7 linked regions of the Macaca fascicularis genome follow. Each later gene encodes a partner of the first gene's protein in a complex. Links are inferred from orthologs where the notes say so. Each region holds a gene or a part of one and is shown on either strand. Other genes may lie near its edges. The genes, in order: LIN9, TFDP2, RBL2, TFDP1, LIN37, E2F4 and LIN52.

Evidence for each region.
Region 2: LIN9 (region 1) and TFDP2 share a complex: the UniProt entries of both Homo sapiens proteins name them as parts of the DREAM complex. The link is inferred for Macaca fascicularis from reciprocal best matches to the Homo sapiens genes LIN9 and TFDP2.
Region 3: LIN9 (region 1) and RBL2 share a complex: the UniProt entries of both Homo sapiens proteins name them as parts of the DREAM complex. The link is inferred for Macaca fascicularis from reciprocal best matches to the Homo sapiens genes LIN9 and RBL2.
Region 4: LIN9 (region 1) and TFDP1 share a complex: the UniProt entries of both Homo sapiens proteins name them as parts of the DREAM complex. The link is inferred for Macaca fascicularis from reciprocal best matches to the Homo sapiens genes LIN9 and TFDP1.
Region 5: the proteins of LIN9 (region 1) and LIN37 are in contact, whole or in part, in a crystal structure (PDB 7N40), measured with the Homo sapiens proteins. The link is inferred for Macaca fascicularis from reciprocal best matches to the Homo sapiens genes LIN9 and LIN37. Residues at the interface, in NP_001353174.1 of Homo sapiens: Lys99, Ala101, Ser102, Gln103, Lys104, Ile105, Gly106, Arg108, Leu109, Arg110, Leu112, Leu113, Lys114, His119, Trp121, Cys122, Ile123, Glu125, Trp126, Phe127, Thr227, Leu237, Phe238, Leu272, Ser273, Asn274; in NP_061977.1 of Homo sapiens: Tyr95, Ile97, Leu99, Phe100, Asp101, Arg102, Val104, Leu106, Ala107, Phe109, Ser110, Glu111, Asn112, Thr113, Pro114, Leu115, Tyr116, Ile118, Cys119, Arg120, Trp122, Met123, Asn125.
Region 6: LIN9 (region 1) and E2F4 share a complex: the UniProt entries of both Homo sapiens proteins name them as parts of the DREAM complex. The link is inferred for Macaca fascicularis from reciprocal best matches to the Homo sapiens genes LIN9 and E2F4.
Region 7: the proteins of LIN9 (region 1) and LIN52 are in contact, whole or in part, in a crystal structure (PDB 6C48), measured with the Homo sapiens proteins. The link is inferred for Macaca fascicularis from reciprocal best matches to the Homo sapiens genes LIN9 and LIN52. Residues at the interface, in NP_001353174.1 of Homo sapiens: Leu335, Gly336, Phe338, Phe342, Leu343, Ile344, Val346, Thr347, Leu349, Ser350, Lys351, Leu353, Met354, Lys356, Lys357, Ile360, Leu363, Arg364, Asn367, Thr368, Ala370, Glu371, Lys374, Ile382, Phe384, Gln385, Tyr388, Ala389, Val392, Leu395; in NP_001019845.2 of Homo sapiens: Asp61, Met64, Leu65, Leu68, Gly69, Leu71, Thr72, Thr73, Leu76, Met77, Val80, Leu83, Gln84, Leu86, Ala87, Leu90, Asp93, Glu94, Glu97, Met98, Arg100, Gly101, Leu104, Asn105, Ile106, Leu107, Glu108, Pro110.

The regions. Positions count from the first base shown.
Region 1 is NC_088375.1:84,220,178-84,224,791, reverse strand, and holds the start of LIN9 (protein lin-9 homolog), read left to right. Parts: upstream 1-1,364; 5' UTR 1,365-1,482; coding exon 1,483-1,561; intron 1,562-4,614. UniProt on the Homo sapiens protein: Acts as a tumor suppressor. Inhibits DNA synthesis. Its ability to inhibit oncogenic transformation is mediated through its association with RB1. Plays a role in the expression of genes required for the G1/S transition.
Region 2 is NC_088376.1:44,769,130-44,771,936, reverse strand, and holds the end of TFDP2 (transcription factor Dp-2), read left to right. Parts: intron 1-554; coding exon 555-660; intron 661-876; coding exon 877-1,060; 3' UTR 1,061-2,049; downstream 2,050-2,807. UniProt on the Homo sapiens protein: Can stimulate E2F-dependent transcription.
Region 3 is NC_088394.1:49,422,370-49,426,887, forward strand, and holds the start of RBL2 (retinoblastoma-like protein 2), read left to right. Parts: upstream 1-1,267; 5' UTR 1,268-1,362; coding exon 1,363-1,602; intron 1,603-2,421; exon of another isoform or gene 2,422-2,531; coding exon of another isoform or gene 2,532-2,549; intron 2,550-4,518. UniProt on the Homo sapiens protein: Key regulator of entry into cell division. Directly involved in heterochromatin formation by maintaining overall chromatin structure and, in particular, that of constitutive heterochromatin by stabilizing histone methylation.
Region 4 is NC_088391.1:104,024,940-104,029,027, forward strand, and holds part of TFDP1 (transcription factor Dp-1), read left to right. Parts: intron 1-343; coding exon 344-465; intron 466-1,866; coding exon 1,867-2,032; intron 2,033-2,500; coding exon 2,501-2,644; intron 2,645-3,127; coding exon 3,128-3,196; intron 3,197-4,088. UniProt on the Homo sapiens protein: Can stimulate E2F-dependent transcription.
Region 5 is NC_088393.1:42,979,933-42,984,615, reverse strand, and holds the start of LIN37 (protein lin-37 homolog), read right to left. Parts: upstream 3,131-4,683; coding exon 2,947-3,130; intron 2,838-2,946; exon of another isoform or gene 2,749-2,837; coding exon of another isoform or gene 2,719-2,748; intron 1-2,718.
Region 6 is NC_088394.1:63,211,946-63,216,795, forward strand, and holds the start of E2F4 (transcription factor E2F4), read left to right. Parts: upstream 1-1,851; 5' UTR 1,852-1,912; coding exon 1,913-2,047; intron 2,048-2,446; coding exon 2,447-2,556; intron 2,557-2,694; coding exon 2,695-2,856; intron 2,857-3,164; coding exon 3,165-3,208; intron 3,209-4,106; coding exon 4,107-4,168; intron 4,169-4,389; coding exon 4,390-4,690; intron 4,691-4,850. UniProt on the Homo sapiens protein: Transcription activator that binds DNA cooperatively with DP proteins through the E2 recognition site, 5'-TTTC[CG]CGC-3' found in the promoter region of a number of genes whose products are involved in cell cycle regulation or in DNA replication.
Region 7 is NC_088381.1:142,054,581-142,058,668, forward strand, and holds part of LIN52 (protein lin-52 homolog), read left to right. Parts: intron 1-965; coding exon 966-1,083; intron 1,084-4,088.

The sequences.
Region 1 (4,614 bases):
ACTGATGGGTGTTAGCAGCTATTATAAGGTCCTTACATCTATCAAATCATTTAGCCCTCAAAACAACTCTGTTACTTGCATTTTACAGATAAGAAACTGAGGCACAGAGAATTCGGTTAGGAAACCAACGTGCCGGAGATTATACAACTAGCAGCCCATCTGGATTCTTCCCATCGAGGCCCTGGGGCTCCAGAGCCCACCCTCTGCACCTCTCTAGCTACCAGTGCAGTCATCTCTCTTCTGTCCTTTGTATGCCCCAAATAAGCTTCTTCCTGACTGGTTTCTAGGCTCTCATCTTGTCCCCCACCAATCCATTTCCCATATTTTTGTTCGAAAACACAAATAGAAACATACCCCATCTTTAGGTAAAACCCGACTTTTCCACTGCTCCAGTGCACTAAGCAAGTTCAACTCCTTAGCCTGGGCGGGCCTCTGTGTCATCTTAGTAAACCGCCTTTTAACTTTGTAGTTCCTGGGATTCACCCATGTTTGCTTAGCGGTCCCATTCCTCCAAACCCATAAATTCCTGGAGAAAAGGACTGGAGCTCAATGACATTTGTTAAATGAATTTTTGAAAAGCAACAGTGCTTTATTACTGGAAAGTGTTACAGATATTGTGAATTTTTTTCCTAGGGCTTCTTTCAATTTCGTTGAATTCTCGTCCAATATCATCGTAACATTTGATCAGGTAGTTTATCACCTTGTAGTGTCACTGTTCCTTTCTGTATCCTCTCGAAGCCTCCTGTTTTTCCTTTCCTAATTCTCTTCCAGCCCACTGCACGATCTAGTGTCGAATGGATGAAACAGCTGAGCAGAACAGTTCTTTAGCTGTCGGCCTAAATGACCAACTTCATGACCTCTCAAGGTCTCGCTCCCCCGCTGCACGCAGCTCAGCTTCCAACATTCGGGAAAGGCGTGCCCGGCCGGCGAGGGGCCGCTGGGGCCGAGTCCCGGACGTCGCCACGCGCAGTGGGCTGCTGCAGCCGGCGCTCTCGGGAAAAGTGAGGGGACGGAGGCGCCCGAGCAATGTGGGTTTCGGGAACCGTGAATATTTCACTTTGCGTAGAGCCCCGTCGGGCAATGCGTCCCAGAACAGAGGGCTTCTTTCCCCCTGCCAGGGCTTCCCTCCAGTTCTCCACTCGGAACAAACAGCCTGCAGTTCCCGCAGCTGCAGCGCGGGCCGCGGAACACGCGCCTGGAGCGGGGCCCGGGCGGGACTCCGGAGCTGGTGTTGCTCCCCCAGCGCTCCGGCGCCGGGCCTCGCCGCGCGGCCTCCTTTCTCCCTTCCTCCCGCCCTGCTCGGCCGGAGGCGGCGGCGGAGGGGCGAGGTGCGGCCCCCCTTCGGCGGCACCTCCTCCCCAGGCAGGCGCGGGCGGAGCCCGGCCCGCCTCAGCCAGCCGCGGCGGGAGCAGCGCGGCGCAGCGCCGCGGGCAGCGAGCTCCGCATTCGAACCTCCCTCGCAAAGACAGTCTCCGCCCCACAATGCACCGCGGCGGGCAGCCTTTGAAAAAGCGGCGCGGCTCGTTCAAGATGGCGGAGCTCGACCAGTTGCCTGACGAGAGTGAGTAGCACCTCAAAGCACCCCCGCCTTTTCCCGCCTGCTGCCTGCCCCACGGCTGCACCGGCCGGGACGGACGGCCGTGCCCTCCGCTGGGCAGGTGGGCTGACTGCCAGCCCCACTGTGGTCCCCTAGTCCTCCCACTCCGGTGTTGCCGCCGCGTCGCCGCCTTTGTTATGGTGTCTGTGTGTTGGTTTCTGGGGTTGTGTGAGCGCCAGGGCCGGAAACCGAGAGCCCGGGAGTCCAGCCTGTGCCAGGCGGAGGCGGTGGCTGCTCCCCTGGCCCGACTCCGGCCCCCAGCCGAGGTGGGGGGAAGAGCGGCCCCCGGGCGCGGGGGCTGTCCTCGCCGCCTGCACCACTCGCCCGGCGCCGAGAGACGCCCGCCGGGGTTATGTAACTCGCCTGTCCCGGGGCCGGGGGAGGGCTCGGGCTGGGCACGGTGTGGTCCACGGCCCCTTCTTCTTGCCCCAGCTTCTGATCTTGTCCTGTCACAGCTCCTGCCTCTACGGGCACTTGTGATCTTCACTGTCCTCCCCGCCCCCCCACCGGTGTGTCCACCCCTGGAAGTGTTTCCGTGTCAGAGGGTTGGCCCCTTCCCCTGGGACCACAGGTGGCTGTGGACCTTTCCTGAGATCATCCAGCCCGGATACTCAGTGTTCAGGTAGCCCCCGTCCCGCAGAGTTTATTCTATATGTGTCTTAAGAGCCATGAAGGTACCTTTATGTATGGATGTGACCAACACAGCGTACATGTGCAGTACCCTGCCTGACACCCACCCTAGGGCATTGCCTCACCTATCCGTGTTTACTCACCCTGACATCTAAGACGTGTATACTCACTTGTGTTGAGTAAGTAAAAGCACCAATTCCGTAGTTTAAGGGCAATGGAACTTTTGTAATTTACAGTATTGCATAAATTATATGAAAAGGCAAATATGTTAGTTAATTACAAAAAAGTCCTGAATCCACATTCACTATTCAGTTTATACATATTTGTGAAAGGCTCAATCACTATTGAATCTATCTATGCACAAGGTAAATGGACTTTGAAAAAGAGAACTCAACATACCGATTCCATTTTCTTTGTGAGGTCATGTATTCTTAATAAGTTATAAAGTTAAAATAAAAGTTCAAGTTGCCAAGCTGGTGAAAAGTCGTATTAAAAGTGTTGTGTTTTAAATTTGATAGAGAGCAGCACTAAGTACCAAAGGAACTTTGTCCGTGATGATGGAACTGTTCTCTTTTGTGATGGCCAATAGGGTAGCCAAGCTACTAGCCATACGGGACATTTCAAATGTGGCTAGAGTGATGGAGGAACTGAATTTTGAATTTTACTTATATAGTCACATGTAGGTAGTAGCCACTGTATTGGATAGGGAACAGCTATTGACCAGTCATGAGTTGTATTGTTTATTTGTAGAATACAATTGATTGTGATTTATTTTATTTATTTATTTATTTATTTTGAGATGGAGTTTCACTCTTATTGCCCAGGCTGGGGTGCAATGGCGCTATCTCGGCTCACTGCAACCTCTACCTCCCAGGTTCAAGCGATTCTCCTACCTCAGCCTCCCGAGTAGCTGGGGTTACAGGCATGAGCCACCATGCCCGCCTGATTTTTTTGTATTTTTAGTAGAGACGGGGTTTCTACATGTTGGTCAGGCTGGTCTCGAACTCCTGACCTCAGGTGATCCGCCCGCCTCAGCCTCCTAAAGTGCTGGGGTTACAGGTATGAGCCACCGTGGCTGGCCTTGATTGTGACTTTGAATGCTCCCAAATGAGTGTGGACCTACTAAGCACAGTGTACTTGTCATCCGAAAATGTTTTTCGTCATCCTTGGTATCTTTATCATAAAGATGTCTTATCACCTCTTGGATGTCACAATCACTAGAGCTCCTATTTTGGTTACTGCAGTCATTCTGTTGTAATGAGAGGTGTTTTACGTGGCTTTCTTACAACTGCCGTTGGGAATATTTGCTTCATATCATCCAACATTTATTGAGAATTTACTGTGGTTCTTTGTAGGGACTTGGGATTTATATTAGGGTTCAAATTCCAGCTCCACTTTCAAATTAATATAACCTAATCATTTATATTACTTTGTGACATCTCTGGTACATTGATGTGTATTCGTGTGTATGTCTTGTTTAACCAGACTTCAGCTTTGTTGAAACCAGGGATTTTCTTTCTTTGTTATACAGTGCCACAAATCAAGTATACATAAATACTTAATTTGTATGGAATTAATGCAAAGTAACAGGTATTATTAATGAAACTGGAGGAGGGTCTTGAAAAGGAAAAGCAATTTCAATTTGATACTGGAAATAACAGTATGTTTTTTGGCCACATTTAGTCAAGGAGTCTAGCCAATATATTATTCAGTAGTCAATATAACATTATCAATAATCAAAGCTACCATTTATTGAGTATTTACTATGAACCAGATGCCATGCAAAGGATATTATATGTATTTGCTCATTTAATCTTCATTTCAATTGACGTAAGTACTCACATTTTATATGAGGAAACTAAGGCTATCTTCAGCCCAGATCTTTCCTGAGCTCCCTTTCTTGATATCTCTTGCCTATTTCACATTTCTTCTTAGATGCTTCAAAGGCCCCTAGAACTGCACGAGTTTAAAATCCACCTCAGCCTTACCCCATGACAGATACTTCTAGTGATTCGAATGATTCCACTGTGCATTCAGCTGGCAGGGCAGAAACCTAGAGATTTTCTTTGACACTTCCCTCTCTCACTTTTGTTTTCTTTTTTCTTTTTTTCCTGAGACAGGGTCTTGCTCTGTCACCTAGGCTGGAGTGCAGTGGTGTGATCTCAACTCACTGCAGCCTTTGCCTCCCGGGTTCTATCGATTCTCCTGCCTCAGCCTCCTGGGTAGCTGAGTTTACAGGCGCCCACCACCACACCTGGCTAATTTTTGTATTGTTAGTAGAGGCGGGGTTTCACCATGGCTAGGCTGGTCTCGAACGCCTGACTTCAGGTGATCCGCCCGCCTCAGCCTCCCAAAGTGCTGGGATTACAGGTGTGAGCCACCACGCC
Region 2 (2,807 bases), on another chromosome or scaffold:
AAAGAATAGGTATTTGATGAGTAGCAGCATTGAGTTCACCAGCAGCAGGCACCTGAAAAGACACTGCGGCAGGGGTTTTGGCCAAAACAGATCTGTCTGCCCTCTATGCAGGGTGGCCTTCTTACCTCATGTATTTCTGATTTGATTTTCTCTTTTCCCACTTCTGGCTTTGGCTGTCAACACCACAGTCCAGGTCTTTTGTGGTGAGGGCAGCCCAGGCATTGAGGATGGTACACTGGGCTGCATCCCATGGGCTGTGCTCTGGAGGGCTTATCTAAGAAAAAGAGTAAGAAAGCGCCTGTGAGTGTTTTCATTTGAATACCTTCTCTCCATAAGCTGCCTTCCCGTATTTTTTTTTCCTGCTCTTGTGTTCTAGAGTTTCTTTTTCTTCCAAGAAGATGAAGAAACCTGGGTTCTTCTCACAGCAAGAGAATTGTCTCGCTGTCATGAAGAATAAGCTTAGTTCTTGCTCTTCTGTGCTTTCTTCAGACTGTAACAACAGCAGCCACAAAACTTGCAGGACCGACATTTTTTGTTCTCATTTTTTCCTTTAGATATCTCCACAGGACCTTCTTGGTTAAATCAGGGACTACTTCTGAACTCTACCCAATCAGTTTCAAATTTAGACCTGAACACTGGTGCCACCTTACCCCAGTCAAGGTACGTATTTTTTTCAGGGTTAGAAAGGCAAACCCCAGAGCCCTGACTGTCTGTGTAGGGGTGAGCCGGGGTCATGTTACTGCCAGCACAGGTCCTGCTGAGCAGGTTTGTGGCAGATCTCACCAATGGCACCTCCTTCCTATGTTTTTATTCCTATATTTTACAAAACTGTTTATACCACATTAATGAGCCTGTGTGTTTTTAATTGTTTGCTAGTGTAAACCAAGGGTTATGCTTGGATGCAGAAGTGGCCTTAGCAACTGGGCAGTTCCTGGCCCCAAACAGTCACCAGTCCAGCAGTGCAGCCTCTCACTGCTCCGAGTCCCGAGGCGAGACCCCCTGTTCGTTCAATGATGAAGATGAGGAAGATGATGAGGAGGATTCCTCCTCCCCAGAATAAAGACAAGAGAAAGCCTACGTTTCAATATGTGATGCTCATGTGTGTTTGTAGTGTGAGCTCTTGTTTTTGAAATGATTGCTTCAGTCTTTGCCTTTGTTTGCACTGTGTGTTCAGTGAAAACTAGAGAAACACAATAAGCAAATCACATGAAGGCTGAGATGATTGAGATGAAAGTTAACATAGTGTGAATGAAAGTCTGGCCAACAGAGCAGTAGATGATATAACAAACAAAGCATGCTTTCTGAGGAGCTAGTGGGGATAATTCCTGAAGAGTTGGCAGTGTGAGTGTGCTCATTTATCTTCTGTGAGGTGGGATTTTTGTGTTCCTCACACCCATGTAATTATTCTTAGAATTGAGATTGCTACACAGAGCAGTCCTTGACGATCATGTTTCTGACATTTCTCTTCCCTGCCTGGACTGCCTTTGACAAGGCGGAAATGAACATGAAAAGTCCCCACGAGAGGGGAGCTGTGTAGTGAGGGATACTGAGGGCAGTCCTGTGGCCGAGGGGCACAGATTGAACTGCTGAACTAGTTGGAGGTCTAGTTAAGGTGCTTTATGCATCAGCTGCCTTAGACAGCTTCTAGAAAGGAGCAAGCGCTACTTCTTAAGTACTTAAGTGACATTTAGATAATTTATAGTAAAACTGAAATTATTATTAGCCAATGCATTGATGCATAGAATTTACTAGGGCTACTTCTGGAAGCCAAAATAGAATAGCATTTCCATGTGCATTAAATACTTTGCCAGCACTGCCTTTTGCCAGCATCCTAAATCTGGAGTTTTATAAAGAGGGAAAATGTATCTTTAGGTTAATCAAAGCTATGCATTTCATATAGCTTTTTCATTTAAAACAAGACAAATTCCTATGACCAAATTGCTTGCCTACAGTTCCCTGCAGCAATTGTATGCTCTCACCCAGTGTGCAATTTGTGAAGATGAACCAAATGTCATTACTTTTGTCTTAAAGAAAAGTCTATTTCAAGAATATGAACAGCAATGTTTCCTTCTACATGTCACCTTTTTTCACATTTTCATTAGTCAGAATGACCTTATTGAACCTACTCCTGGGGTCAGTTGCATTTCAAACTAATCCAATATTTAGTGTTTCACAGAAACACTGGAAAACTGAACACTCCTACTGCCTGGATATATGGTAGTGCAGTTATGTTGTTTATGGCTCAAGATGTCATTAGAAATACTGCAGTGGTGTATTCACAACTGCTTCTTCTCTGAAAGAGTGTAGGGACATCTGCCACCATGGCCAGACCCTGAATTTCACATTAAGGCCTTGGAAAGGAGCAAATAATAATGGGAAAATTAACTCCAAAACTTTGACCTGAATCATGTGGATTTATCCCAAGATGATGCTAGATGCACCAAGCATGGCCCAAATTGGTTCTTTTTTAAATCCCTTGGGGGAAGTGCAGGCTTCTTCCTGTGGTGCCTCTTTCTAGCCCCACCACCATGTTGACAGTGAGCCTGGTGAGGAGGAGAAAGCTTTGGCTAGCTAAACATGTTTAATAAGGCCATAAAAACTGAGAAAGAAAAACATTCAACTTTAGCTGGAGCTCCTTTGATACAAAAGTCTCATTCTGTCAGAAATAAGCCATAGTACAGACTCAGAGATAGAGGCAGTTTCTAGAGAACTTGGTCTTATCGTGGGTTCTGGAGCATACCTCTCAGACTAGTCAGGAACACCGGGGAGGTGACAGCAGGTCCCCAGGGACCTGCAGGGGACATTTC
Region 3 (4,518 bases), on another chromosome or scaffold:
CTGTAATCCCAGCACTCTGGGAGGCCGAGGCGGGCGGATCACTTGAGGTCAGGAGTTCGAGACCAGCCTGGTCAACATAGTGAAACCCTGCCTCTACTGAAAATATAAAAATTAGCCGGGCGCGGTAGCACGCACCTGTAATCCCAGATATTCAGGAGGCTGAGGCAGAAGAATCGCTTGAACCCGGGAGGCGGAGGTTGCCGTGAGCCAAGATCGTGCCACTGCACTCCAGCCTGGGCGACAGAGCCAGACTCTGTCTCAAATTAAAAAAAAAAAAAAAAAAAAAAAAAAAGGACTGTCTGCCCTTCAGAGTCAGCTACCAGAAAATTCGGAGACTGGGGTTTTTAAAGAATGACTTGGCGGGTAGGGGGCCAGGGAGTGGCGAATGCTAATTTGTCAGGTGGGAGGTGAAATCTTAGGGGGTTGAAGTGGGCTCTTGCTGTCTTCTGTTTCTGAGTGGGACTGTAGAACTGGTTGAGCCAGATTATGGTCTGAGTGGCGCCAGCTCATGCATCGGAATGCGGGGTCTGAAAAGTATCTCCAGCACCAATCTTAGGTTTTACAATAGTGATGTTATCCCTGAGAGCAACTGGGGAGGTTAGGAATCTTGTAGCCTCTGGCTGCAAGACTCCTAAATCATAATTTCTAATCTTGTGGCTAATTTGTTAGTTCTACAAAGGCAGACTGATCCTCAGGCAAGAAGGGGGTTTGTTTTGGGAAAGCTTTGTAAAAATCTTTGCTTCAAAGTGAAACTACAAATTAAATTCCTCCTGTAGTTAGTTGGGTCTTCGCCTGGGAATGAACAAGTGCAGCTCGGAGGTGAGAAGCATGGAGTCATTTAGGTCAGATCCCTTTCCCAGTGGTAACTTTCTCACTGTTAGGATTTTTGCAAAGGCAGTTTCGTGAAGGTACACAGACAGGCCCTTGCTATTATCCTGGTTTTTTAGATAAGGATATCCAGGCAATGAGGAAGTTTTACTTCTGGGAACAGCCTGGATGCGAAACCTTCACACGTCAGTGTCTTTTGGACATTTTCTCGTCAGTACAACCCTGTTGAATGTTCTCACGATGGGGAGGTATGTGCTTAAAATGCGGGGAAGGTGCTTTTATTTCACCCCTGGTGAAACTAGGCGAGCTAATTTTTTTAAACATGATTTTTGGCCCCCTTGAACCGTCGGCCTGGACTACATTTCCCAGCAGGCCGTGCTCAAGACTACGGGTGCCTGCAGGAGGTCAGCGTCGTTGGCAGCGGCGCAGGCGCAGGCGCGGAGCGGGCGGCGGACGGGCGGGCGCTTCGCGGTTTGAATGGCTGCGGGCCCGGGCCCTCACCTCACCTGAGGTCCGGCTGCCCAGGGGTGCGCTATGCCGTCGGGAGGTGACCAGTCGCCGCCGCCCCCGCCTCCTCCTCCGGCGGCGGCAGCCTCGGATGAGGAGGAGGAGGACGACGGCGAGGCGGAGGACGCCGCGCCGCCTAACGAGTCGCCCACCCCTCACATCCAGCAGCGGTTCGACGAGCTGTGCAGCCGCCTCAACATGGACGAGGCGGCGCGGGCCGAGGCCTGGGACAGCTACCGCAGCATGAGCGAGAGCTACACTCTGGAGGTGCGCTCGCGGGCGGAGGGGCGCTTCCGGCCTAGTCGGCGTGAACCGGTGCCTTCCGAGCCGCGTCGCGCGCCACGAGAGACCCTCGGGCGGGTTGCGGGATCCCAGCCGGGAGAGGCGTGGGGACCCCCTCTGCGCTATTCCGAGGCACTTAGCCGCTCCGAGGGCGAACCTGCTCTCGCCGCGCTTCCCCGCGGCTTCCGAATGGGGAACGCGTTTTGCCCTAAAGTAACATAGGGAAGCTGAGATCGCGCTGGGGTCCCGATGAGGAAGATGGGTGTGTGTGGCCCATCTGACCCCCCGCCCGCCTTGTTAGTAGAATGAACTAGTGTCGTTATCAAGACCGCACGGAGAAGGGGAGGGGACTTGCCCTTATTTGCACCGCGATTAACCGGGCTGTGGCACCTGGGTCTCCAGGCGTCTCCGTCTGTTCGCTTCCCCCTGTTAACCAAATTGCCTTTGCCCAGACGTTGCTGGCGTTAGAGTCAACGAGCTGATGCGTTTTGGTCTGTGTTTACGTCTGTGTAAACAAATTAAGACTCATTTTCCCCCAGGCCACATGAAATGAGCCCTCCGCCGACCCGGATATAGATACATGCTCCCATTTGTCACTAGGCTCAGGATTGTGGCTACCTCGAGGGCTTTTTGGTCACCCCGGGCATTGCACAGGACTCCTGTTGTCGGGATCCGGGCGTGTTAGGTCGCAGCCTTCGGACTGGGCTTGTGGATGAGAAAAATGGCCATTCTAGCCAGTGACTGTTAGTTCTGTAGGCACCTCCCTTTCATGGGCCAATGGGAAGTGACACGGAAGTACGGATTGTTTATCAGCTCTTCTACTGTGTGTGTGTGGCATTTAAACCTGAGGCCATTTAATTTCTCAAGTAGTTTTATAATTACTTTGGATAAAGAGGGGGGCAAATAGGCCCAGGATGCAAAGCCTAACCAAGGTATTATTTAAATATGATGTTTTTGGCTATGTGTACTGATGAGTGAGGTTATTTTAAATTTGTATTTGCATTAATAGAATTTTGATTCAATTACGATTTCCCTCTTTGAATTGTTATATCTGCAGAAGAAAGATAGTGTATGGTGGCTTTAGAACCCGACAGACCTGGGTGACTGAACAATTTACTTAACCGCTGGAAAGTTGAGTTTTGTGATCTTTAAACTGGAGATATGTGTGTTTACCTCACAGAGCTGTTCTGAAGATTAAATAAGGCAACAATGTAGTTTCTGGCACATAAAGCACCCATATGGACGGTGCTTTCAAGTTTCCTAAGCTCTTTGTATATTTACATGATCTGGCTGAGTAAACTATGTTCCTGTCCGTCTCTCAGTGCCTTTCTGTAGTCTGGCAAAGAGAAGGACTGGTTGACTTTTTTTTTTTTTTTCTTTTTTTTGCTTTTTTTTTTTCTTTGGTAAAGGGCCTTAAAGGCTTCTAAACTAGCTTTTATTTTACCCTCAGGATGATCCTGTAAATTAGATAGAACAAGCGTTATCACCATTTAGTTGAGGTATGTCAACTCATAGTGGTTAAGTTGTATGAAGTCCAGTGATACATGAGCAAATACCACGTAAGAGCTGGTTAGTAAATTATTTTTGAAAACACATGTTTGATTACTCAATTCTTTTGATTACTGAGACTTTAGTTTCAGCTTCTTAGCCCAGTTTATTCAGTAAATGATTTACTCAGTAAAATATTCATCAAATATTTCTTGAGCACCTGTTCTCAGTGCTACACACTGTTCTCAGTGCTGGATATAGAGCATCAAACAAAGCCTAAAAATACCTGCCTTTGTGGGGCTTATAGTGAGCTACGCTGTGAGATAATGTGGGATGTCATTCTCATGGGAGTGTAAGGGGAAATAAAGCTCTTATGATATTTAATACAGAATACTGGTTATGGAAATTTAATTTGATTCATTGTATTTTCTGTGCATTTTTAACCTATAACTCATTCTTACAGTCCTCAGCCAAAAAAATGCAGCCTCTGAGACTGTTTAGTAATTTTCCCACTGTGTTACAGCTACTGTATGGCAGAGCCAGAATTTGAAACCAGATCTATTTGACCCTATAAGATATGGCCACGAGATGTTAATTTTGAGGATAACTATTTTTTAGTATTATGGAATTTTTCAACAAATATTTTTTAGGACCAAAGATAAACTAGGCAGAGTCTACTCTTTGCATAAATTGTTTAAAAGAACTTCCCGCTCCGTTTTATCATCTAAGTACGGTAAAATTCTCACAAGACTAATTCTTTTCTTCTTTTTAGGAAAGATGCAGCTGTAGACTTTCTTTTTTTGTTGTTGTTGTTTTCTCTCTGCCATCCAAGTAGTTGTGAATTTTCTAGAGCCAAAATAGAACATTATAGATTATCTTTTAAACCCTTTATTGAAGCACAGGATAATGCTATGACTGACTTAACTTTATACTTTGTAAGAGATCTTGATAGAGTAGAGAAATGCAGTAGTTATGCATCTAAATTTGCTTTTACATCATAAATCAAGAATATTATGAAACCATCTCCCAGAGACATATGTAATACATAAATCTTGGCTGTTTTTTTTGACAATAGAACATCTATGCTATTGATACATATAAGTGGGTTTGTAAGATAGTCTATGTGTAAATGTGAAAAATGAAGAATTTCCAGTTTTTCTCATTTTCATTTAGACCAGTAATGAATACAGTGAAGCCAAAGGACAGCTTCCATCCTTCCTCGCTTTTATAGGAAGAGGAAAGTTGTATCACTTCTTGAATAAAAAACGATTGTGAAGATGATCTTTTAGAAACAATGCCTTAAAAATTATTATTTTTGAATGTATCTGGTAGGGGATCCACAATAGTCTCATTTGGTTATAAAAATAAATTTTATGTATTCATGTATGTGTTTTGATTAGGTATAAAATTAGT
Region 4 (4,088 bases), on another chromosome or scaffold:
TGCCGCCCCCTTCGTTAAATGACCGTTAGCGCTTTGGGGGTCACGCTCTGCCCTGTCCTGTTCTTGCTTGCTTGGGTTGTTCACAGTTTCTTGTTGCTTTTGTCTAATTGGAGAAGATGCCTGTGACTGACAGGAGGAAGATGAGCCACAGTCAGAACAGGTGTGGTGATGCCGTCACCGTGTCAAAAGCGTCCACCGCCAGACGTTTTTCCTGCCCCGTCGTGGCTGCTCGCTGTGGTTAACAAAATTCCACAGTGGCTGTGGATAGCGAACAGTTGGTGGGCGTGGCACCCTCGCCGTGTGGGCGGGGACTGACTGTCTGAATTGTCTTTTTTGACTATAGGTAATTGGTACGCCTCAGAGACCGGCAGCGTCAAACACCCTGGTGGTAGGAAGCCCACACACCCCCAGCACTCACTTTGCCTCTCAGAACCAGCCTTCCGACTCCTCACCTTGGTCTGCCGGGTGAGCACTTCCCTCCGGACCCTTAGAGTTGTAGGATTGCTTGCGGTTCGCACCTCCACGTTCTCCTGGGCCACGTGCGTGACACAGTCGCACGGTGGGGCTCCCATGCGCATTGATGTCAGCCTCCGAATCACACTCACCCATCATCGTGCCCCGCACAGGTGTGCAGTCGAGGCGCACTGCCTCGGTCACGGAGAAGTCGGGCTGGGCACTGCCCACCCTGCTTTGTGTCTGGTGTAGTGGGTGCTCTTGGAAGGGCTGGCAGCTCTTGGCCAAGACGGGGAGAAGCTGGCCTTGTACTTGCCACAGGACCTTGGAGACTTTTCATCGTCTGTGCTGGGAGCACGCGGGATGGATTTCACCCACTGCCCCTGAATGCAGCCTCTACTGCCCCTGGGGTTACGGCCCCCGTGAGTGGTCCCACCAGAGTGGCTCCTTCCACTAAAGCAAGATCTGATGAGCTGTGTCTTTCCTTAAAAAAACACACATGCAAAGCTACAAAAACCTACCTGTGTCGGTGCCCAAAGCTTCACCAGCTGGGACCGCAGGTGACCTTTCCCGCCACGTGGGGACTGACCAGAGTGTAGAGTTGGGCTTTCCCTCTGTGTGAAGAACACTTAGTGGTTTGCACCTGTTGTCAAGCGGCTATCACAGCCCAAGCCGTATGAAATTATAGCCTGCTGAAATTTGTCCTAAAAATTCCCAAATGTACACTGAAATGTCCCATAGTTCCTGATTCTGGTTGCCCTCTTTAGAAAAGTGATGCCTGTGGCTCACACCTGTAATCCCAGCCCTGTGGGAGGCCGAGGCCGGCAGATCATGAGGTCAAGAGATTGAGACCATCCTGGCCAACATGCTGAAACCCTGTCTCTACTAAAAATACAAAAAAATTAGCCAGGTGTGGTGGCGGGCGGGCGCCTGTAATCCCAGCTACTTGGGAGGCTGAGGCAGGAGAATCGCTTGAACCCAGGAGGCGGAGGTTGCAGTGAGCCAAGATCGTGCCACCGCACTCCAGCCCACTACAGAGCGAGACTCCATCTCAAAAAAGAAAAAAAAAAAAAGAAGTGCTTGGTGTACTGATAGGCCTCTCATATGCTGAGTACTGATAGGCCTTCCATATGCTGATTCGGGTCCTGGGGACGCCTCCCGTTTTCCCTGACACTTGGAAGGACAGAGGTGCAGCCTGCCAGGGAGACACTCGCTTTCTGACCTGCAGGAGCACTGGGCCTGGGGGCTGGGGCTAGGTGGTCCTGGCCTGCTCACGTGTTGGATCTGCTGCGCCCGTGGGATGTGGCCCCTTTTTGTGCAGCTCATTAGAGCTCTCAGGTAAAAGCATTCCTCGATTCAGACTGATGCTCAGGAGGGCTGACGGTCGCTTCTTTTTTCCTTTGTATTTTGAAGGAAGCGCAACAGGAAAGGAGAGAAGAATGGCAAGGGCCTGCGGCATTTCTCCATGAAGGTCTGCGAGAAGGTGCAGAGGAAAGGGACCACTTCCTACAACGAAGTGGCGGACGAGCTGGTCGCGGAGTTCAGTGCTGCCGACAACCACATCTTACCAAACGAGTCAGTAAGTGTGTGCTGGGGGCCGAGAGGCCAGGGTAGCGGAACCAAGTGGTGTGGCACGTTTTACTCTTTTAATATTGGGAACAGTTAAAACCATACAGAAAATTCCAAGTACAGCATGACAGAATTTTTCCCAGTCCATTTGCTGGCATGATGCTCTGTCAGCGTCAGTGAGCGAGCACGTGGGCTGGCTCTGCACATCCAGCGGCCCAGAAATGCAGACGTGCCCTCCTCGCCAGCTGGGCTCGACACCCGAGGGCCCCCAGCTCCCCTCCTGGAACACACTGGGATTCGCACAGCCCTGTCTTGCCCTGCATCATCTGTAGGGTGGGAGTGCTCCCTGAGGACGTGTTGGGGTGACAGCTCTGTGAGCGGGGTGCCCCTTCAAGCCGGTGCACGTGGCCTACAGTTTAAGGTGGGATCCACAGGCTTTTTTGGATCATTTGGAAAATCCACTCCCTGTCATCCGCAGGCTTATGACCAGAAGAACATAAGACGGCGCGTCTACGATGCCTTAAACGTGCTGATGGCCATGAACATCATCTCCAAGGAGAAGAAGGAGATCAAGTGGATTGGTCTGCCCACCAACTCGGCTCAGGAATGTCAGAACTTAGAGGTGGCCCTTCAACCTTGATTTCCCTTCAAGTCTGTGTAGATGTGTTTGTTGTCCGTCACTCAGAAGGGTCTGGGCTCCATGCCCTTATGCTCTCTGTGTCCAGACGGCTGGCAGACGGTCATGCAGACGTCTCCCTGCGTTTCTCAGTCTCGGCTGTCAGGGGAGGGAGCATGGTTGGCCCAGACCCACTAGAGTGTGTTAAACTCTAGCACAGGTTAATTGTGAATCCTAGTTTGTGGGATTTTTGTTTTCTTTTTAGATACCATAGTTAAATCCAAGAAATGAGAGGAGAGGGGAAAAGGTATAGTTTAGAAATGGAAGAAAAACTCACCTGTATTTTGTGGCATCTGCTATGTCTAGATTTGTCCATATCCCTTCGATTACATTCAAGGTAAACATAGGTAACACTGAGGATGCGGGTTGTAAAATGCACTGTATGGAACAATCGTGATGATTCTCTACATGGGGGGTTTGTTTTTGAAGGTGGAAAGACAGAGGAGACTTGAAAGAATAAAACAGAAACAGTCTCAACTTCAAGAACTTATTCTACAGGTAAGAGAATACATATCTTTGGAGGCAGGGTAATTTTTATTTTACTAATTTAGTTTTATAACAGCAACATACTGCCTTGGGTTACGCTCCTGTGTGGCAAATTAAATGACTGCTTTAAGATTCTGAGTGTGAGTTCATCTCATAGGTGTTGAATGTGGGCCGTGTTCCCAGAGCGAGGTTGTGTATGTGTGTGCGTATGCATGCATGCGTGCGTGTGTGTGTGCATGTGTGTGTGCACCTGCGTCCATGTGCCTGTGTGTGTGCATGTGTGTGCATGCCTGCGTGTGTGCCTGCGTGTGTGTGCACGCATGTGTGTGCGTGCCTGCGTGTGTGTGCCTGCATCCATGTGCCTGTGTGTGTGCATGTGTATGTGTGTATCCCTCGTCACAGTGTCTAAACAGCCAAAAGACAGATGGAGGGATGACTTCATGCAAAAGCAGCATTTGAAAAATCCCCTCAGAGGTGCTTAACCCAAGGCCCAGGTGCCAGGCGAGGCATGTAAAACTGTGGTGGGCGCAATGCACCTGGGTCTTGACAGTGCTGATCAGGGCCCTGGAGCTGGCCTTCCCCACCTCCCACTGAGTGCTGAGGGTGGGCGGCACCCCTGGGGGCCCCGTGTCTGGTGTGGAGGGGGTCGTGTGCAAGGTGCTCAGTGCAGAGCTGACTGCTGCTCTGGCCGAGGTGTGCTCGAGCCCTCCCAGAGGGGATGGTGTGGCAGCCATGGTGATGGAGACTCGTGGGCGAGAGCTGCTCAGGGCCACAGAGTCTGTCAGGAGGGACAGTCCTGGTTGCCAGTGCCTTAGTACCTGCCTAACGGGGATAGACCCAGGGTGGCCGGGAGAGGAAGGGAATCTCCTGGCTCTACAATAATAGCAGAGAAGTTCTCTCCAAG
Region 5 (4,683 bases), on another chromosome or scaffold:
AGATATTATTTTTATTCGTATTTTAAAAAGAATGAAACTGAGGCACAGAGATGTTAGGCCACATGCTCAAAGGCACACAGCAAAGAAATTGCAGAGCTGATTATTTGAACCCAGGCTGTCTGGTTCCAAAGCTGAAGTTATGAGACAGAGGCTCAACCTGAGTGCAGAATCTGGTTGAGGCAGTGGTATAACTTTATTTTAATTAATTAATGTATTTATGTTTTGTGAGACGGAGTCTTGCTCTGTCACCCAGGCTGGAATGCAGTGGCATAATCTTGGCTCACTGCAACCTCCACCTCCTAGGTTCAAGCAATTCTCCTGCCTCAGCCTCCCAAGTAGCTGGGATTACAGGAGCCCGCCACCATGCCTGGCTAATGTTTGTATTTTTAGTAGAGATGGGGTCTTACCATGTTGACCAGGCTGGTCTCGAACTCCTGACCTCAGTGATCCGCTGGCCTCGGCCTCCCAAAGTGCTGGGATTACAGGCGTGAGCCACCACACCCGGCCAACAGTGGTATAATTTTAAATCTGAATTCAATCTGAATGAGCTGACATTTAAAAATTGGGAGATTTCTTTTCTTTTGAGACAGAGTCTTGCTCTGTTGCCCAGGTTGGAGTGCAGTGGCGTGATCTCGGCTCACTGCCACCTCTGCCTCCCGAGTACAAGTGATTCTCCTGCCTCAGCCTCTCAAGCAGCTGGGACTATAGGCGTGTGCCACCATGCCCAACTAATATTTGTATTTTTAGTACAGACAGGGTTTCACCATATTAACCAGGTTGGTCTCAAACTCCTGACCTCATGATCCACCCACCTCAGCCTCCCAAAGTGCTGGGATTATAGGCATGAGCCACCATGCCCGGCCAAAATTGGGAGATTTCACCTAAAACATCCTGTTTGGACTTTTTTTTTCCCCTCAGGAAATGAGATCTAGGCCCACCCTCCTGCCCAGTGAGCCTGTGGCTGCCTCCCATCATCACAGAACTTGAGGGAGTGATGATGTTATGCTGTCCTACCTTTGAGAGGTGTTTGCTCTGCCTTTCTGACTGGTGGGAGCTCTGGCTCTAGTGCTCAGAGCCAGGAGGGGACACCTGGGAACTTGCCTGACCAGTCCAGGGACTTCCTGAGAAGGTCAGGAGACACAGGGATTCAAACATAGCTCAGAGGAAAGACAGAGTGAGGGTGGGGAAGGGAGTAGCTGAGATTGCAGCAAAGCCTTGGGCGGATGCAGAGGGTACGGATCTCTCCCCAGGCCCAGCTTCTCTCCTGAACCCCCGACTTGGGCCTGAAGCCTCCCTCTCAAGGGTCGCCTCACTGTCGCCTAGTTCCTCCCTGTACCTCACCATGAATACCCCTCTCTCTCCCCTACCCCAGCCCAGCAATCCCATGACCTGTCCACTAGGCCTCCCTAGTGTCTCTCCCACCTACCTCCTCTCCACTCTATCCATGCTGGTCCAGACCTTTGCTCCCCCTGGGCTCCCACCTCAGCGTCCCCTTCTGATCCACCCTCCACAAGGCAGCCAGGGGAATCTTCCAGAAAAATAACAAACCTGACCCTGATCTTCCCCTGCTTGGAACCTTCCATTGGAACCTTCCATGACTCTACAGCACCCAGGGGTGGAGTCTGCACTCCTCAGCCTGGTACTAAGAGATGTATACCTTCCCTCACCATCATTTGTGGTCAGACCCACTTCACTTTTCTTTCTTTTTTTTTCTTTTCTTTTCTTCTTTCTTTCTTTTTCTTTCTTTTCTTCCTTCCTTTTCTTTCTTTCTCCTTTCCTTTTCCTTTCCTTTCCTTTTTCCTTCCTTTATTCTTCCTTCCTTCCCTCCCTCCCTTTTCTTTCTTTCTCTCTCTCTCTTCCTTCGTTTTTTGGTTTTTTCTTTGTTTGTTTTTTCAGGGTCTCAATCTATCACCCAGGCTGGAGTGCAGTGGTGTGATCTCAGCTCACTGCAACCTCCACCTCCCCGGCTCCAGCGATCTTCCTGCCTCAGCCTCCTGAGTAGCTGGGACTAGAGGCTCGTGCCACCACACCTGGCTAATTTTCTTTCTTTCTTTTTTTTTTTTTTTTTTTTTTTGTATTTTTTATAGAGACAGGGTTTTGCCATGTTGCCCAGGCTGGTCTCAAACTCCTGACCTCAAGTGATCTGCCGGCCTCGGCCTCCCAAAGTGTTGGGATTACAGGCGTGAGCCACCGCACCTGGCCTGCCACTTTGTTTTGATAACACTTTTGCCATGGGACATCCTACATCATTTTACTATTATCTTTCTGTCTAAATTCTGCACCCCTCCCACTGCCCTTACCATGCCAGGCCTGCGATCCGGTCAGCTCTGCCCCAACCCAAAATGATCTAAGTTTCAGTTTCCCCAATGACCACAATTCCTATTTCCTAGGATTACTGGAATATAGTGACTGTGAGGATTAAGAGTGCTTGTACTTCAGGCTCACAGCAAGTATGTGTGACTGATCACTGCTGGAAATGGGGAAACTGAGGGGAAGCCAAGAAAAGAGAACTTCTCGGCCGGGCGCGGGGGCTCACGCCTGTAATCTTAGCACTTTAGGAAGCTAAGGCGGGAGGATCACTTGAGGTCAGGAGTTCGAGACCAGCCTGGGCAATATAGCGATACTCCGTCTCTACTTAAATATTTAAAAAATTTAGATTAAAAAAAAGAGAAAAGGGCCCTTCTCAGAGTTACCGGCTCAGGATTCCCCATATCTTACCACGCACCGCACTGCCTGAGCCACCACCATTCAATCTCAAAGCGACTTCAAGCGCAGACCGGGAGGGTGTGAAGGTGGCAGCCAACGCTCGCTGCCTGATACAGCGATTGTCAGGTGGGCTGCAGGGAAAAGTCGTGCAGTCCTCTTTCCGCGATACTCCCTTCTACCGGGACTCCACACCCTGTCAACCCGATGGTCCCGACAGGCCCCCGACGTCAGGGTCCTCACCTGATTTCTCCACTTTCACCTTCACGGGGAACATGGTTTGGGTCCAGGATCTGGCTAGCTGGGTCAGAGGCGCCCCAAAGGGCCTAGGGTCACAAATCAAGGCGGGAGGCGGGCGGGGACAGTTCAAAGATGAGCTTCGTGGGCCACAGCTCCTCCGCCTTTGGTTGTGTTCAGCCTGGACCATGGCCACCACCCTTCTGTGGGCGGGCCCCTTCGGCAGCAGCTTGCTCCTATTAGTTAATGCAGTCGTCAATCTTACATCCTGACCAATTGAGAGCTGCCTCCGTAGTCTCCCAGCTTTAGGTCCCACCCTCCTGGGGCTTTGCTTCCGGAAACAAACCATCGACCACCAAGCTTCCTGGGAGGTGTAGTTCCAGGTTCCCAGACCCACCCGGAGTAACAGCGCCTGCGCCGCGCGGGGCACGGTGGGAAACAAAGGATTAGGGCATCGCGAGGCTTCCCGGGACTTGTAGTGTTAGAAGGGTTGAGCAACACCAATTTAGCTCTTTACCATATTTAACCAACCGTTGGAGTCCCTTCATCCCTAAGAGGAAGACTAATGTAAAATAACGTTGGGTTCCCTTTCACTGAGCACTCTCTAGGTGACAGGTACCAGTTAATCTCTTTGCAGGTACAACTTCATTCATTTTGCAAATATTTATTAGTATGCCGGGCACTCTTCTAGGCATTGGGGACACCTTGAGGAACAGAACAGACAAAAATCCCTGCCCTAATAGGGCTTATCTTTTAAAGGATGGAAGATAAACAGTAAACAAGTAAAACATTCTAAGTGAAATGTAATAGGAGAAAGAATATAGTCTGGGCAGGGCATGGTGGCCCACACCTGTAAGTATCAGCCCTTTGGGAGGCCGAGGTGGGCAGATCACCTGCGACCAGGAGTTCGAGACCAGCCTGGCCAACATGGTGAAACCCCGTCTCTACCAAAAATACAAAAATTAGCCGGGACTGATGGCATGCCCCTGTAATTCCAGCTACTCCAGAGGCTGAGGCAGGAGAATCGCTTGAACCCGGGAGGCGTAGGTTGCAGTGAGCTGAGATCGCACTTCTGCACTCCAGCCTGAGTGACAGAGCAAGACTCCATCTCGAAAAACAGACAACAACAAATCCCCAGCCCCCCACCAAAAAAAAAAAAAAAAAAAAAAACCCACAAAAAAAGTGTAGCCTTAAACGGACATAGGAATATCAAGGTGGTGATTGAATTTTAAATAAGATGGATGGTCAAGGAAGGATTCTCTGAGAAAGCTCTTGACTATTTTTATTTTTGCAGACAACACTTCCTTCAGAAAACGGGAAACTTGGATTTATCACACATCTTGGTCCAAATAAATCCTAGGAGGTAGCATTGTGATCTACACTTCTGATGAGAATACTGAAGCCCACAGTAGGAAAGTTATGTTTTTGAATTCACGACTACCAGTACAGGGTAACAGCCCCTAGAAATGGAAGCACTAGACCAGTTGTACCACTGCATTCCCGCCTGGGCAACAGAGCAAGACTGTCTCAAAAAAAAAAAAAAAAAAAAAAGCAACGGAAGCACTATTCCTTTCTTAGTTCCTCATCTAATAGTTTCCTGCGCAGGAAAGTTCCTAGTTCAGAAGATTATGAGTAGTATTTACTGTAAAAAATGTACATCATGTCTAAATACTAAGCCTGGCACAAAGCACTCAACAAATGTTTTTAAATGTTAATGATCATTTATGCCTCAACCTCTAAAAG
Region 6 (4,850 bases), on another chromosome or scaffold:
GGTGTACTTGTATTCAACCAGTCTTGACCAGCCCACCCAGAACCTCTTAGTGCTCAGGAGAGGAGACAGGGATTTGCTAGACTTGGCCTCAAGCTGGGGTGGTGGGCAGGGTGTGTAGATATGGATGCAGACGACTTCAACAGCACAGGATGAAAACTGTGTTGGTCAGCCTCCGAGGAGGATGTGTACCTCTGCGGAGAAGTGAGAGGTGGCAGGCTGTTGTGAAGAGGGGTGTGGTGGGGGATGGCAGGAGAGGGTCATGAAAGCTGTGTTTTTTTTTGTTTTGTTTTAGACAGGGTCTCGATCTGTCACCAAGGCTGGAGTACAGTGGCACCATCATAGCTCACGGCAGCCTTCTGGGCTCAAGTGATCTGCCTGCCTCAGCCTCCCAAAGTGTTGGGATTACAGGCGTGAGTCACCGCAACTGGGCAGCTGTGTTTATCTTGAGAGTTATAGGGAGCCAGGGAAGGGACTATAAGGTGGTAATAATTTAGTGGATGTTCAGTCCACCACCCAAATCCACCCTTCAGGACAGAAGTGCTCATTCTCCAGCTGCCAGGAGTGTAGGCTGCTGAGATCAATATTGGGGTGCAAAAGCATGGTACCATCACGTGAACATAAACTCTTCAGAAGTGCTACCCCAATTTCAGAGATCCTAGTGGCATAGGCTGAGGCCTATAATATAATTGCATCTGCCCAATTCTGCTTGTCTTACTCCCTTAAAGGTGTGGATCCTGACCAGGTGTGATGGCTCACGCTGTCATCCCAGCATTGTGGGAGGCTGAGGTCTGAGGATCGCTTGAGCCCATGAGTTCGAGACTAGCCTGGACAATATAGTGAGACTCTCATCTCTACAAAAACTAAAAATAAATGAGCCGGGCATGGTGTGTGCATGCCTGTGGTCCCAGCTACTTGGGAGGCTGAGGTGGGAGAATCGCTTGGGCCCAGGAAGCTGAGATGGCATTGATCTTGCCACTGCACTCCAGCCTGGGCAACAGAGTGAGATCCTGTCTCAAAAAAAAAAAAAAAAAAAAGAAGTGTGGATCCCCAACAAACTTGCTGCAAAACCCTGTCTCGAGTCCCATTTCCCATAGAACCTGACCTAAAAGAAACAATAATAAATAGTAACAATGTTACAAGTAACAAAATGACCCTAGCAAACTTTCCTACATGCCAGAAATGACTCTGAGTGCTTTACTGATATATACACATAGGTAAATACGTTTGCATTGCCTGAAGTGTATATAACCCCATAGTCTCTGAGCACTGTAGCGGGAGGACAAGATGAGCGAAAGATGAGGCTAGGACCATGGATGGAGAGAGGTGGACAAGGTAGATATAGTTAGTGCTTGCTGTTTGGCAGGAAGTGAGGGACAGGAATAGATGGGGTGACCCCAAGACAGTAGGGGAACCTTTAGGAACATTTTTGATGTGGCAGTAAAATGAGTTTGAAATATAAAAGAATAAATAAAGAGAAAAAAATTTAAAAGGAACTGATTTGAGGGAACAGATTGGATTAGTCAGGTAGTGTGGTCTTGTCTCCCGAGATGGGGACTGGGCAGAGTTAGTGATGTTGGGGCAGATTGGCAAGGAAAGTTCCGATGGCATCCCTTTCTCTACTGCCAGGGCTGCCCACTGACGCCCTCCTCATTCCTCCCTAACTTCATCCCAACTCCCGGTCTACCCAGGTAGTTTTCGTCTTATTCGGCGGCTGGACATTTGCTAATGGTCCCTGAAGTTTTGCGGTTGCACCCACAGACAGCAATAGCGCCGCGTTCCCTGGAAGACGCACGGGGCGGAAGCGGAAGCAGCAACGCTGGCTCCGGCTGCCGGACGGCCAGGAACGGAAGCGGAAGTGGCGGCGGCGCCGGCCTGGCCTGGCCTGGCTGAGGGGAGGCGGCGGGCGGACGCGATGGCGGAGGCCGGGCCGCAGGCGCCGCCGCCCCCGGGCACTCCAAGCCGGCACGAAAAGAGCCTGGGACTACTCACCACCAAGTTCGTGTCTCTTCTGCAGGAGGCCAAGGACGGCGTGCTTGACCTCAAGCTGGTGCGGCCCGGGCTAAGGGGCGACAAGGGAGGATGGTGGACCAGGCCTGGGCCGGTAGCGGGAACCCCGGGGGCGGCCCAGCTGGGTCCTCCGAGAGCCGGCCGCCATCGTGTGCTTTCTCACAGGAGAGAAGCCGGGGAATGTTTCATTCATTCGGCCGAGGCCATTGAGCTACAGCTATGGGCCAGGCTCGGGGCTCCAGGTGTTCGTCCTCGTGGCCCTTCCTGGCTGGCGAGGAGAAGAGCTGCCTATGGGACAGAGCTGCGGGCCTGAGCTGCAGTAGCGCCTGGCAGGCACTACAGGGTTGGAATCCAGGTTACTCCCTTCCCAGACCACGTCTCAGGGTGGCTGGGGGTACACCCGAGAGTGGGGCTGAGCATTCTCCACTCTGTCTGCCAGGCAGCTGACACCCTAGCTGTACGCCAGAAGCGGCGGATTTACGACATTACCAATGTTTTGGAAGGTATCGGGCTGATCGAGAAAAAGTCCAAGAACAGCATCCAGTGGAAGTGAGTGGGGATAGTGGGAGGGTAGTAGAGTCTCCCACCCAGAAGTGTCGGGGGTGGGGTGGAGGGTGCCAAAGAAGGCAGGGGCCGTGGGACCCAGAGTTCTCAGCAGTCCCTCTCAGCCCCACTCCCTGGGCTCAGGGGTGTGGGGCCTGGCTGCAATACCCGGGAGATTGCCGACAAGCTGATTGAGCTCAAGGCAGAGATCGAGGAGCTGCAGCAGCGGGAGCAAGAACTAGACCAGCACAAGGTGTGGGTGCAGCAGAGCATCCGGAACGTCACAGAGGACGTGCAGAACAGCTGATATCCTCCTGGCGTTCCCTCCTGGGGGGAGTGGGCAAGGGGCCCTCTGGTTCAACTTGCCCTGGGCAAGCTCCCTGTTCCTCTTGGGAGCTTGTCCTGTGGCCCCTGGCCATGGCCCAGCCTCAGGCTCCCTCCTCAGAGCCTCTCCCCTTCCAGTCTTAGCCTGTGATCCCTCCCCCAGTGGACCTGAGTCCCCAGAACTTTCTCTGAGGGGCCTCTGTGTCAGACCTTGGCTAAAGAATTGGGTCTTTTTTGTAGTCTGCCATCTGTCACCATAGGGCATCGGCCATTCTCCTTAACCCTCACACTTTGGCCTACGTCACTCATGAGGACATCTGCAGATGCTTTGCTGGTGAGCAGAGCCTGGGTAGGGGTGAGGGGGTGGGCTGGGCTCAACCAAATCCCTGAGCACTGGGCTCAGTGTCTCAGGAGAGTTCCGTCTCTTAAGAGGGTTTCTGGGGCCTGCTCAGAGAGGAACCAGGCAGGGTAAGTCTTCTGTCTGAGTGTCACTGGGACCCTGTGGAGGTCAGCTATACCAAGAGGGTACAGGAATTCTGGAGTGGGTTCCTGGGTCTGTTCCCAACTGTACTGTTTCCTGGATTTGGCTTCTTGAGTATGATAGAGGTACAAGGGGGAGAAAGGGAGAGAGGATATGTGTGTATTTGCTTGTGTTCAGGCTCTTACATGCAGGGCATGGGGGTGCCCACTTCCAACTTGTTAGTTTAATTGCATTGTGAATGCAGGATATGTTCCTTTTTTTTCTTTCCTTTTTTTTTTTTTTTAAAAAGAGACAGGGTCTTGCTATGTTGCCAGGCTGGTCTTGAACTCCTGAGCTCAAGCTGTCTTCCCCGCTCAACCCCCTAAAGTGCTGGGATTATAAGTGTGAGCCACTGTGCCCCGCTGATGTGTTTCTTCTCCATCATGTATCCTCCTGACTGGTCATGGGAAAGGGATGTTGGCCTTGGCTAGAATACCTTCACCTAGGGAACAGCCATCGGTGGAAGAGTGAGGTGCCTGTGGCCAGTGATATTTGACTCCACATACTTGAACCCAGATTTCCTGGTTACTGACTCTGGGCTCTCAGGAAGAGAAGAGCTTTAGCTCTGCCCAGCCACTATGGGGAATGGGTGAGGTCCACTGTCTAGTCCCTCAGAGACCATGATCTCCTGCCTTGCTCCAAAAGACAGGCACCTCTGTTCCCAGCTCAGATTGAGCCCATGGGCTCTGACCCATTCTCCATGTCATTCTAGGAGATACCCTCTTGGCCATCCGGGCCCCATCAGGCACCAGCCTGGAGGTGCCCATCCCAGAGGTGGGTGCTTAGCCCAGGCAGGCGGGGTCAGCTGAGGGCGGGTGCTGGCTGTGGAGACTGATAAGTCCCGGGTGGGGCAGGTAGGGGAGGCCTGGAGTTTGGGGTTATCTAGGAGGATGGGCATCCTGGGTGGGAGAGGACACTGGTCCTGACAGAGTCGGGCAGGAGCCAAGCCTGCTTCCAATTCTACCCATCTCCCATCCCTTACCACCCATCTCTAGGGTCTCAATGGGCAGAAGAAGTACCAGATTCACCTGAAGAGTGTGAGTGGTCCCATTGAGGTTCTGCTGGTGAACAAGGAGGCATGGAGCTCACCCCCTGTGGCTGTGCCTGTGCCACCACCTGAAGATCTGCTCCAGAACCCACCTGCTGTTTCCACGCCTCCACCTCTGCCGAAGCCTGCCCTAGCCCAGTCCCAATCCCAGGAAGCCTCACGTCCAAATAGTCCTCAGCTCACTCCCACTCCTGTCCCCGGCAGCGCAGAAGTCCAGGGAATGGCTGGCCCAGCAGCTGAGATCACAGGTGAGGCACCATGGGAGCTTGTGACAGAGGCCCAAGAGGCAGTATCTCTGTGTTGTGAAACACCACACTCAGAGTTGGAAGAGACCCTTCAAGATGGGGATTGTCTTTTTCCTGACCTCCACCTAGCCTTCCCTTGCTGTGGTAATGAATGAGCCTTTTT
Region 7 (4,088 bases), on another chromosome or scaffold:
TCCAGCCTGGGTGACAGAGCGAGACTCTGTCTCAAAAAAAAAAAAAAAGGAAGGAAGGAAGGAAAGAAAACTTTAAAGAACACAGAGATGGGTAGAAATGGAAAGGGAGCATATTCTAGGTAGAGCGAATGTTAAAGAGTTTGAAAGCAACAGCTATGTTCAAGGAATGGTGTGAGTGGCTGAATCTAGACCCCAGGTTATATTAGGTCTCATAATGACTAAGACTAGGAAGGAGATAGAGGGGCCAGACTGAGGAGGGCCTTGAACTCCAGGGATCAAGGAGTTATACTCAGTGGTAGTAGGGAGCATGTGAAATGTTCTTTAAAAAGTATCTTGGCCGGGCGTGATGGCTCATGCCTGTAATCCCAGCACTTTGGGAGGCTGAGGCAGGCGGATCACGAGGCCAGGAGATCAAGACCATCCTGGCTAACACGGTGAAACCCCGTCTCTACTAAAAAAATACAAAAAAACAAATTAGCCAGGCGTGGTGGCGGGCACCTGTAGTCCCAGCTACTCGGGAGGCTGAGGCAGGAGAATGGCGTGAACCTGGGAAGTGGAGGTTGCAGTGAGCCCAGATCGTGCCACTGCACTCCAGCCTGGGCGACAGAGCGAGACTCCGTCTCAAAAATAAAAAAAATAAAAAAAAGTATTCTAATGCTATCACATTAACTGTGTGCATTATAGATGGTTTGGGAAGACACTTTACTAAAAGATATTTTACTACAATTTTTTTATTGTAAAAGTAAAGAAGAAAGTAAAAAAAAGAAAACCAACAAACCATAGCCTTACCACTAAGAGATAACCACTATTAACATTTCATGTGTTTCCTGGCCCCACTTTTAGTCCCTTTATGTGTCTATGTGTGTGTTTATATTTATACTTGCATCCATTCATGTACCATGTACACAGATAATGCTTCTTTTCTTTCTTTTCTTTCTTTTTTTTTTTTTTTTTTTTTGAGACAGGGTCTCCCTCTGTCACCCAGGCTGGAGTGCAATGGCGCAATCTTGGCTCACTGCAACCTCTACCTCTCGGGCTCAAGCAAGTCCCCCACTTCAGCTTCCCAAGTAGCTGGGACCACAGGTGTGAGCCACAGCGCCTGGCCAGAAATGCTTTTTTAATATAACTGAGATTGTTGTGTGTGTGCGTGTAGTTTTAACTTGTGCTTTAAAAAATTTTATTCTATCTTAAGCATTTTCCTGTGTCATTAAAGGTTCTACCACTGAAGATTTTTGAATAGGAAAGATACACACCTTTAGGAGGCATTAGTGCACAGGATAGAATAGGATGGTAGAGACAGGAGGCAGGAAGTTACAGTGGGAATCCAGGATGAAGGATTGAGAGTTTGGATGGTGGCAGTAAGAATGGGAAGAAGTACACTGACAATAGATTTTTCAGATTTGGAATTTTTAGGAGTAGGTAAATGTCTGGATGGGGATGTTACGGGATAAGCTGAAGTTAGAGCTTACCATGATGTTTTAGCCTAATTAATGACAGGGAAGTCAGAAGGAGGCTAGATGCCTGCTTAACAACAACAACAACAACAAAAATCACATAATTATTTTACATGCTCCTTTGTAGGAAGGCATCTTTATTTTCTTAGAAATAAGTAAATGTCATTTGTAGAGGTTAGAGGTTAGTGTTATTAATAAGATGTCTAGTTCAGTCATATTACCTAGGCAACAGGTAATGTTTTAGATAGTGAACGGTGAGTTATTTGATCTGAAAGAAATCAATAGGTGAAATAGGATATCCATAACTTCAGAAATTGACTTGTGAAGTCCCTATTTTCTTTGGCTGGTCATTAGGCTGCTAAGTAGAATGACTGACTTTTGTATAGTTTTCTTTTCTTTGAGACAGAGTCTCGCTGTGTCACCCAGGCTGGAGTGCAGTGGTGCGATCTTGGCTCACTGCAAGGTCCACCTCCTGGGTTCCTGCCATTCTCCTGCCTCAGCCTCCCTAGTAGCTGGGACTACAGGTGCCCGCCACCACGCCCGGCTAAGTTTTTGTATTTTTAGTAGAGCTGAGGTTTTATCGTGTTAGCCAGAATGGTCTCCATCTCCTGACCTCATGATCCGCCCGCCTCAGCCTCAGAAAGTGCTGGGATTACAGGCATGAGCCACCGCGCCCAGCCTTTTGTATAGTTTTCTTCCACAGTAGTGCTTTTTCATTCGGGTACCTACCTATGAACTTTTCCTGAACTTTCCTACAAGTTTAGAAAGTTGTCATGGCCTCTGTATACGGTAGACATCCAGTTCTTTGTTAACTGGAAAAAAGTTTCAGAAGTTTAAATCTGAAGTAACAGGAATTGGTCCAAAATATTTGTTGTTGCTCGTGTTTTAAGTAAGTGACATTGGATTATATCAGCACTGGGATAACTCTCGTTAGGTGTTATGACTGCAATTTACATGCAATTGGAGATTAGTGATTGAGAGGGAAACAAACTGCCAAATTATCTTCCAAAAAGGTACTCCTCACTCCATATCCTTGCTAATAACAAGTATTATAATTTTTTAAAGTCATTGCCAACTTGATAGGCAAAATATTAATGTGTTGTTCTAATGTTCATTTCTTCTATTGTGAAGATGAGCTTTTTTTTTTTTTTTCATGTTTCTTGATCCTATCTGTTGACGAGGGCTGGAAGTTAAAGATTTAAGTATAAATTTAAATTATTTTAACCTGAAAAATAAAGCCAGGGAACTTGATTCAAAAGCACCCTAAAGACATTGTGTTGAAATCTGTGTCTCAAATACCGATGGAACCTTATCCTTGTTTTCTTTGTTTTGTGCATTACTTTACCATCTTGCCATGGTCATTAGCTTTGTACCTATTTAGGTTACAGCATAAAATCCAGGAACTCCACCTTGAAGGGATCATGGTTATTCTTCTTAATTAGAAATTGTCAATTTAGCCTTAAGTATTTTGTTTTTTAAAATGTTTTATGATACTGTGAAATAAATCATGCTGTTATTTCTCATTTTTCCTTTGGTTAACAAATTAGGATATACAAATCTTCAAATTACCTTTAAGGCTTGTAAACATTCAAATCTTTTATCCGTTAGTCATTTCATAAACCCAACATTGCCTCTGAAATGGCTTTACACACAAAGAGGATTTTACCATAAAATGCTTGTGGTAGTTTATTCTCTTCTGATTTTTTGTAGGGGAAGGGGAGAGGAGAGTAGGCAGAATATAAATTAATTTGGATGGTGTTGGTTTCAAAGTAGCATTCCATATAATTCTGCAGAAAATATGATAAATAAGAAAATGGGCCAGGCACTGTGGCTCATGCCGTAATCCCAGCACTTTGGGAGGCCAAGGCGGGCAGATCACCTGAGATTGGGAGATTGAGACCACACTGGCCAATATGGTGAAACCCTGTCTCTACTAAATACAAAACCTAACCAGGTGTGGTGGCACATGCCTGTGGTCCCAGCTACTGGGGAGGCTGAGGCATGAGAATCGCTTGAACCCAGGAGATAGAGGTTATAGTGAGCCAAGATCAAGCCACTGCGCTCCAGCCTGGGCAACAGAGTGAGACTCTGTCTCAAAAAATAAAAAATAAAGTACATAGTAAAACAAAGTTCAACATTTGGGAAATAGCAGGTCAATTACAGTGTTACCCATACAGGAGAATACAATGTAGTCATTAAAAAACATTAAAAGGACTGGCCACCGTGGCTTATGCCTGTAATCCCAGCACTTTGGGAGGCCAAGGTAGGCAGATCACTTGAGGTCAGGAGTTCGAGACCAGCCTGGCCAAGCTCGTGAAACCCCATCTCTACTAAAAATACAAAAATCAGTTGCTCGTAGTGGTGGACACCTGTAATCCCAGCTACTCTGGAGACTGAAGCAGGAGAATCACTTGAACCCAGGAGGTGGAGCCTGCAGTGAGCTGCCAAGATTGTGCCACTGCACTCCAGCCTGGATGACAGAGTAGGACTATGTCTCTTAAAAAAAAAAAAAAAGCACTAAAGGGCATTTCATGCCAGAAAGGTTTCATTATATATAAGGATAATAGCAAGTGACAAAATGCAGAATATAAAATTTTACAGCAGGTATCTTTTTTTTTTTTTCTTTTGAGAGCA